2 linked regions of the Coturnix japonica genome follow. The protein of the gene in region 1 interacts with the protein of each later gene in a pairwise test. Links are inferred from orthologs where the notes say so. Each region holds a gene or a part of one and is shown in the gene's direction. Other genes may lie near its edges. The genes, in order: BCCIP and RPL23.

Region 1 (4,485 bases):
AAGTCATCAAGGAGAAAGCTGCAAAGGAAGGAACAACCCCTACAAGGCAGTCATGTTCAGCAATGAAATGTGCTTCTGGCTGTAACACCTTTATCCCATGCTGCTCTACCCTGTTCCAGGGCTCACACCTGTTGCTCATACACAGAAGGGAAGGAGGTTCTTTGTTCCTTACGTGCTGACTGGTGCTGAATTCAATGACTGATCCCAACACTTGGGCAAATACAACAAGCAGCAAAGGAACATGGATGGCTGTCCAACACAGCACATTACAACAGCAGCTTGCAGCTCAACACGCTTAAGGGGTCAAGAACCCCAACAAGCATCGCCAATGAATCATTAAGAGAAAGCACACAAGACATGGCAGCTTCAGTAACAGCGATTACAGTGCGTATCTCCAATTCCCCACTCCCTCCCATCTGAAAAGCTGCCTCCAAACTAATTGCAAACTATTTCTATGAGAGAGGATGGCTTCCAGAAAGAAAGAAATGTGTCCTGCTGTTTCTGCTTCTGAGTGACACTGAGAGCTGCAAAATACATCAAGCTTTAATATAACTCCAGCTCCTCTTTTATTGTAAGAAACTGCATAGGTCGCACAGCAAGGATTGATTGCCAAGCGTAACGGGAATGTCATAAACTGAAATGGAAGTGAATTACAAAACACTGCTGACATATGCTCTGAAAACAACCCTTTTCTGATGTTATGTATTTTTTACCACTATTCTTTCCTAGCAAATAGCTGAGTTCAATAACCAGAGAAGGAAAGAAAGATTACCTGTGAGATAACATTGTATATACACCATTAAACACAAGCAACTTTTCTGAATAATAATTCCTGCCATTCAGGTGTCTACATCCCAAAACCCAACCCTGACCTGGCAATCCCCTGGGACTGCAGGACTCAGACCTCTTATAGAATCATTCAGGCTGAAAATGACCACTCAGATCCCCCAGCACAACTTGAACTAATCCAACCAAACTGACCTGACCCAACCCAACCCAACCCAACCTGATCCAATCCAACCCAACCTGATCCAATCCAATCCAACCAACCCAATGTGACTCAATCCAAATGACCCAACCTGAATCCAACCCAACATGAATCCAACCCAACATGAATCCAACCCAACTCAACCAACCCAACCCAACCAACCCAATGTGATCCAACCCCACCAGCCTGACCCAACCAACCCAACCTGAATCAACCCAACATGACCCAGCCCAACTTGTCCCAATCCAACCCAACTTGCCCCTCCAAGGTAAGGCAGCCCCCATCCATGTAGCACACACACAGCTGACATCCCCCTGTGCACACACTGCAGCATGGCTCAGGCCCCTCCTAGCGACTTTATTAGCACTCGTCCCCGTCATTAACGACACACAGGGCCTTACATGAAACACGGTGCGACTGAGGCTCACCCATTAATAGCACTTATGGGCTTTGATCTCCCCCTCTCACCTGCCCCGCTCCGCTCCCGGCCGCCCCGGCCCGGCTCCTCCCCTCCCTCCGCTCTCCCTTCCGTGTCCGCCTCGCATGCGCACAGCGCCAATATGGCCACGCCGGCCAAGCGCAGGGCAAGGCCTGCAGCCCCGGAACGGGACTCGGGATCGGATTCGGAGCCGGAATCGGGAGATTCGGAGTCCGAGGAGGACGAGCAGGTGGACGAGGTGAGCAGGGGGATGGACGGGGTGAGCAGGGGGACGGGGTGAGCAGGGGGATGGACGGGGTGAGCAGGGGGTTCCGTTTGGCCGGTAGGAGAAGTTACCCTACTAAAATGGGGGTGGGGACAGGCTGATGGTAGCAAACCTTATCGTCTCTTAAAGCCCCGGCTCCGTTTTCCTGCTCGCCAAATCCGCTTAATTTTCCCTATTTTTGTAGGAAGTGAATGTTGAATTTGAAGCGCATTCAATATCAGACAGTGACTACAACGGGATAAAGAAGCTGCTGCAGCAGGTACTGTGCATCATGTCAGCAGGGATGATGCTTATGTGGATAAACAGCTGCAAGGAGGCAGCAGCTCACATTGTCCGTACTGCATCTAAACCAGCCTTGCTTTTTGTTTTCCAGCTGTTTCTAAAAGCTCCCGTTAACACCGCGGAGTTAACCGATATATTGATACAACAGAATCATATTGGAAGTATCATCAAGGTAAGGCAGAAGTGGCTGTTGTAAATTAAGTACAACGTTGCTTGCTTTGAAATGCAGCATTGCATTTCTGGAAGTGAGTCGTGTCTTCAGTGCTGTTTGTAACTTGCTTGACTTTGTTTGGGGATTAATTCTCCTGTTGGACCTGATATTTTCCATGCCAAACAGTGAAACTGGTTTATTGTTATGTGCAATTTATAGAGTCATAGACTCACAGAATGGCCTGGGCTGCAGAGGCCCACAGTGATCATTCAATTCCAACCCCCTGCTGTGTGCAGGGTCACCAACCAGCAGCCCAGGCTGCCCAGAGCCACATCCAGCCTGGCCTTGAATGCCTGCAGGGATGGGGCATCCACAGCCTCCAGTTTCCTCTTGTGGGCTTTAGAAAGGACCCTGGAATGGGTCCTGAGTTTTTCTGCCCAGCATTAATATGATTCTTAGGTAACAAATGTATCTTCTGGAAAGCAAACAAACATATTCCAGTGCAAGGAGTGGAAATAGAATGTCAGTGTGAATTATTTCTCTTTCTTTCATCAAACAGCAAGCAGAAGTACAAGAAGACAGCAGTGATGATGATGATGTTGATGATGATGAAGTCTTTGGTTTTATAAGCTTCCTAAACTTAACTGAAAGGAAGGTTGGTATTCCTGTTTAACTTCTGGGCTGATGTAAGTGTGGCTGTGTTCTGCTTTTCTGCTTGGAACAGCATGTTGTGATAGTTGGATGAGGATTCTGAATCCTGCTGTGGAGGATTATGGGCTTGGAAGTTCTGCATCACTTCGGTTTCTTTTGGATCTAGTCCTGCATAACTTGCTGAAGGTCAGAGAATTGAAACAGAGAATTAAGACTGATCTGACCAGTATTTCCAGGGCGGCTGAGCTGCCTACTCTTCCATTTCTTTACTTCCATCTTGAGCAGCTGTTGAGTTTTGCTATTAAATGTTGTGGTGTCGTAGCTCCTCACTGCGCTCCTGTCAGTAAAGAATTTTTGGTTTCACTCTTCTTCAGGGTTGCGGAATTGTGCATTGCTTCAGGAACCACTAAAGGAGTCTGTCTATAGGACTGTTGGATCCTCCCTTGAAGCTGGTGATTTTCTTGTGTAAACAGTTGTTGTGTAACATAAAGAATGTGTGCCTTTCGATTCTAGGGTACACAATGTGCTGAACAAATCAAAGAGCTGATTCTAAGTCGGTGTGAGCAAAACTGTGAACAGCGCGTGGTTGAACAACTGGATGAGCTCCTGAAGGATGATACTAAGCCTGTGGGTTTGCTGCTGAGTGAGAGGTTCATTAATGTACCACCACAGATTGCTTTGCCCATGCACCAGCAGCTTCAGTAAGTGGTTTTCGCTGTGTTTTATTTCATGTTTTATTTCGTGATTAACATGAAGATGATCAATACTTCATATCTCTTGTATAGTACTGTGGTAAGAGAACTGATGCTCTCAGTAAGACGTAAAAACAAAAAGATGATTTTCATCTGTAAGGTCTATGGTTTCACTTAGTTTTTTAAACACCCTTGGGCTTTCAAACTGTGCTCTTACAAATAATGTGCTGTAATACTGTCTTAGCTACTTCCTTAGAGAAAACCAGCTATGTTATAGTTCAACTTTGTATTACAGTCTGTTTTTACTTTCAGCTGGGAGAAGTTAAGGGACTTAAGGGTGTAGTACAAATGGACTTTCTAAACTAACACACTGTGGGATTTACACTTGCTGAGGCTTTTAATTATGGACACTCATGATTAAATGGTACACCTGAATATTTATTTATCTTCAGGAAAGAATTAAAGGAGGCGCAGAGAACAAACAAACCTTGTGGGAAGTGTCACTATTACCTTCTTATCAGCAAAACCTTTACAGAAGCCACAAAGAATTCTAAGAGGAAAGAAGGGAGAAATCAGCAGAAGGAGGAATTAATGTTTGCAAATGCAGAGGAGGAATTCTTTTATGAGGTAACGTACACAATTCTATTACTTTAAAATGTTGATTTTTTCATTGCAACACTTGCAAAAAAGGTGTTTCACCTAAACTTCCAAGGTTACTTCCAAAAATACCACAAAATGAGGTGCTGTTTCAAAACGAATCAGAGGGGCACTGGTTTCTCCTTTTGCTTTTTATTCTGATGCCATTAAGCTGTAACAATGGCGATCATTTTAGTATTTAATGTGAATTTTACAAATCAGATGAGAAGCAAATAGTTTATGGCTCTTAGTAGTCGGTTGTTTTGGTTTAATAGTTGGTTTAATTGTAGGTTGTTTTAGTGGGCCTCTTGCATGGGAGAAAGTAACTATCTTCCTCATAAGACTTCATTGGGTTTGCTTTGCTCAGATTATGTATTATCT
Region 2 (4,126 bases), on another chromosome or scaffold:
TTTAGAAGCTGCTGGAGCGCCCCTGAATGGGGGGAAGGAGGGGGGCGGCTCCGGGGGTCCCGTGGGGGCACAGAGACAGATCGCTACACCCTCCCCCCATCTCACATCACCCTCTCGTCGAGGCCGGAACATCGGCACAGAAAAGCTTTATTCTTAACGTGAAAAGTCTCCAAAGCGATACTGAAAGCGAGAGAGAGAACAAGGCGAACCGCACAGCTCCGGGGACGCGCCCGTTGGAACCGGAGCTTAAAAAGAAACCCCCCCCTTTTGCTAATGGGATCCAGATGGGTTCCGCCTCGTTGTGCTGCGGGACACGGAGATCGCGGTGGACGGGGGTTGGGTTAAGGGGGATTGGGGGGGGGGGGGTTCGGGATGTCTCCCCCCGCACTCACCTTATATCCAGGCAGTTTCACCTTCTCGGTAGGATACACGATCTTCCCCGCACCGGGCGCAGTTGGGGTTCATGCCGCCCCGCTCCCCCCGCCGCCTCGTCCGTCCTCTGGGCCGCCGCCCGCGGAACGAGCCCCTAAATATAGGGGGGGGGGGGGGGGAGGAAAAGGAGGAGGGCGGACGGGGGCGCGCGGGGCGGGGGCGGCAGCGCGCTCACACCCACGCGCAATCGCCCCGCCGCCCTCATGCGCGCTCCCGTGTCCCTTTGCACGCCCCCCCCCCACGGGTGCGCGGCCCCGGAACCACAGCCACGCGCTTTGCTCCTCGGGCCGCTCCACGTGTCGCATTCCCCCCCCCTCGACATACACCCGCACAAGGAAGCGACGAGCTGCGGCCGCCGCCATCCGGGGGTATAGCTCAGTGGTAGAGCATTTGACTGCAGATCAAGAGGTCCCTGGTTCAAATCCGGGTGCCCCCTCGTTGGGATTTTAGCTTTTCCCTCCTATACATCCCATCCCATCGCATCCTCAGCCGCACCGCGATGCTCCGAGGGCGGTTTATTCTCATTTAGCTCATTTAGATCAGGGGCAGCTGCCGTCAATGCTCACAACGGGGCAGTGCCATCACAGAGCTGCTATCAATGCTCATAACGGAGCTGTGCCATAACGGAACTGCCATCAATGCTCATAACGGGGCTCCACCAGCTCCAGCCCTTCAACCCCCCCCCAAATCGCTTTGCTTTGAGCCCGGCTCCATCCGTCTCCCTTCATACACCGACCTAAAGGCGCTGTGTGTGCCCTGCATCCCTTCACCCAGCTCATAGCTGCAGTTATTAATGCTAATTAATAATGCTAATTAATAACCCCAATCAATATTCAATCCCCATTCTAATATCGCTATAGAGCCCATAGGAACGCAATAAAGTCAGCTCCCATATACTAACATGGAGCGGGGGTATAGCTCAGTGGTAGAGCATTTGACTGCAGATCAAGAGGTCCCCGGTTCAAATCCGGGTGCCCCCTCTTTTCTTTTACTCCCACCCTCCGCTCTTTCTGTCTTTATTTTAGAACAAATACACCTAAAAAAAGAGTTTTTCAGCCTAATTCGCTGGCGTTGATCACTCGGTTGCCGCTCCCGGTTCTCCCGGTTCTATTTATAAACGCCTGCAGGGGGCGCCGGTTCCGCTCCGTTTCTTATCACGTGACCTCCCATCACGTGACATCCGCTTGGGGGACGTTCTATTTCCCAGCGTGCTTTGCGCGCCTCCGTCTCTTCCGGTGCCAAGATGTCGAAGCGAGGTGAGGCGGCTGCTGGGCCTAGTCGGGATCCGGTGCCATCCGCCGCCCTGCGGTGTGTGAGGGGCTGCCGAGAGGGGCGAGGAGGATGATCGGGTGGTGCCGATGATGTACCGGGTGTTGATGATGATGTACCGGGTGCTGATGATGCATCATACGGGCCTGGGCCTAACCAGGAGCGGTGTGAGGCCTACCCGGTAGTACAGGCCGCACCCGTTGTCCCATAGGCCGCAGCCCCCTGTCACTTTATGGCGGTGAACTCACTGCTCTCCTCTGCCCGCAGGACGCGGAGGTTCCTCCGGAGCGAAGTTCCGCATCTCCCTCGGTCTCCCCGTTGGAGCCGTGATTAACTGCGCTGATAACACAGGTGGGTGCCCCCGTGTTATGGATGGGACGGGGTGTAAAGCCGGCAGCCGGGGGGGGGGGGGATGCAGCCGGGGGTCCCTTATGTTGCTGCGGATGGGCAGAGCAATGCGGTATCACTGTGTTTCTATGGGTGATGGGATGGGGGTCCCTGCAAGGGGAGAATCTGGCCATGGATAATGAGCTTTTCTCTTTACAGGTGCCAAGAACCTGTACATCATCTCCGTGAAGGGGATTAAAGGGCGACTGAACAGGCTGCCAGCAGCTGGAGTGGGTGACATGGTGATGGCGACTGTCAAGAAGGGCAAACCAGAGCTGAGGAAGAAGGGTAAGGAGCAGCCGGGCCTGCTGTGTCTGCATGGCATTCCTCAAAGCATCCAGGCAGCTCCTGCTCAGTCTATCTGCATCTCATTGTCCTCCCATGGGATGGAGGGGGCAGGTTTTGCCTTGTATTCACATAGGAAAGGATCAGAAGGCAGATGTCCCCTTCGTGGAGTGTTTGTTCCGCCCTTCTCAAAAGCACTCGTTGGGTCTTTGTGCCGTGGCTCAGTGAGTTGTCGTGGAAGGGCAGAGAAAAGGGCATCGCTTTTGGGTGAAGTGGCAGCTTGTGCTGTTTGTTTCAATCAGCGATGTGACACGGCCTTGGGAAATGGGGGGTCTCCCCCTTTCCTCCCCCCCCACAAGAGCTGGAATTGCTGAGTGCCATCTCTGAGCTGACACACATAGAAGTAAGGCTGAGCATCATCTCCAAACAGAGATTTTGCCACCAGTTTTTAAGTGGAACACTGAGAAGCTGAGAATAGGAGCGAGCGAGGTGTCAGCCCTGCTGATCCTATGGGCTGCATTTTGTGAGCCCAGGGTGTAATTCAGCTCCTTGCAAAGGTGTTGGGAGGGGAGTTAAGTGTTGGGTTGTGCTGTGGGTGATGCTGAAGAAGGCTGATGTGCTGTTGTGTCTCTTGGCAGTGCACCCAGCGGTGGTCATTCGGCAACGAAAATCATATAGGAGAAAAGATGGAGTGTTCTTGTATTTTGAAGACAACGCGGGTGTCATAGTGAACAATAAAGGTGAAATGAAAGGTATGGGAAAGCAGAATCCTGCATTAAGCCTAAGAGAAACATGGGCTGGGGTTGGTGTGCTTGGTTATAGGAGGGCTTTGCTCACCTGGGCCAAGGACCTGGGTTCTATTTGGACCTGGGAGAACACAACCACATTGACTGAGCTCTGATGTGCTGTTATTTCTTTCCTCCAGGTTCAGCCATCACAGGCCCCGTGGCCAAGGAATGTGCAGATCTGTGGCCCAGGATAGCCTCCAATGCAGGAAGCATTGCGTGAACACGCGTGGAGATGGAAATAAAAAGTACTTGTACCAAAAAATGGTGTCTGCCTTGTTGTTAGGATTCGAGTTGGCTCCTGGTGGTGCTGGGGGGGATTCATGAAGCCTCAGATGTGGGTGGGTTCAGCAGGAGGAAACTGGCTGTGGAGCTGAGGTGGTGATTAGTCTTAATGAGGCAGAACCATCAGCATTTGGGGGGTGTTTGTAATTGAACTGGTCCAAATTTGGCGTGCAGTGATGGAGGCTGGGAGCTCTGAAAGGCCTTGTACACAAACTTTGTGCCTCTCCATTTTCCTCCAGGACGAGAGATTGAACAGCTCAGAGAGAAGTGATTCTGAAAGGGGGGGAAGCTACACCTGGATGTGATGAGCCCCCTGTGCAGGTTGTATGGCAGAGCACACTAAAATGATCTCTTTAGTCCTTGCTGAGGACAATACAAGGACACATGGAGCCCACTGCTGTCAGCTGAGGCGGTGGCTGTTTGCACGTGCCTCAAAGCCTCGATCAGTGGTGAAACAAGTCGTCAGGTCACTGGTTAATTGCAGGAGCTGGGGGCTGATGTGACTTTAGGGTTCATCTGAAGAGCTTTGTGATCAGAGCTGCAAGGCAGGCATGGAAGAGCCCCCTAACCCATGTTGGATCCCTTGTAACTAGAGCAGAGCCACAGATGGATTTCTGGAGACTAAAAGCTTTGCTCCAAAAGCACCGTGGTCTGATGAAACAATCTGCTATTTTGTGGTAAAA

What was found.
Region 2: the proteins of BCCIP (region 1) and RPL23 interact in binary tests that used the Homo sapiens proteins (3 or more experiments, as listed by UniProt). The link is inferred for Coturnix japonica from reciprocal best matches to the Homo sapiens genes BCCIP and RPL23.

What each region holds. Positions count from the first base shown.
Region 1 is NC_029521.1:28,918,372-28,922,856, forward strand, and holds the start of BCCIP (BRCA2 and CDKN1A-interacting protein), read left to right. Parts: upstream 1-1,514; 5' UTR 1,515-1,548; coding exon 1,549-1,665; intron 1,666-1,876; coding exon 1,877-1,951; intron 1,952-2,065; coding exon 2,066-2,146; intron 2,147-2,684; coding exon 2,685-2,780; intron 2,781-3,289; coding exon 3,290-3,477; intron 3,478-3,920; coding exon 3,921-4,095; intron 4,096-4,485. UniProt on the Homo sapiens protein: During interphase, required for microtubule organizing and anchoring activities. During mitosis, required for the organization and stabilization of the spindle pole.
Region 2 is NC_029542.1:3,753,157-3,757,282, reverse strand, and holds RPL23 (60S ribosomal protein L23), read left to right. Parts: upstream 1-1,558; 5' UTR 1,559-1,675; coding exon 1,676-1,688; intron 1,689-1,968; coding exon 1,969-2,052; intron 2,053-2,247; coding exon 2,248-2,376; intron 2,377-2,554; exon of another isoform or gene 2,555-2,688; intron 2,689-3,011; coding exon 3,012-3,125; intron 3,126-3,298; coding exon 3,299-3,381; 3' UTR 3,382-3,423; downstream 3,424-4,126.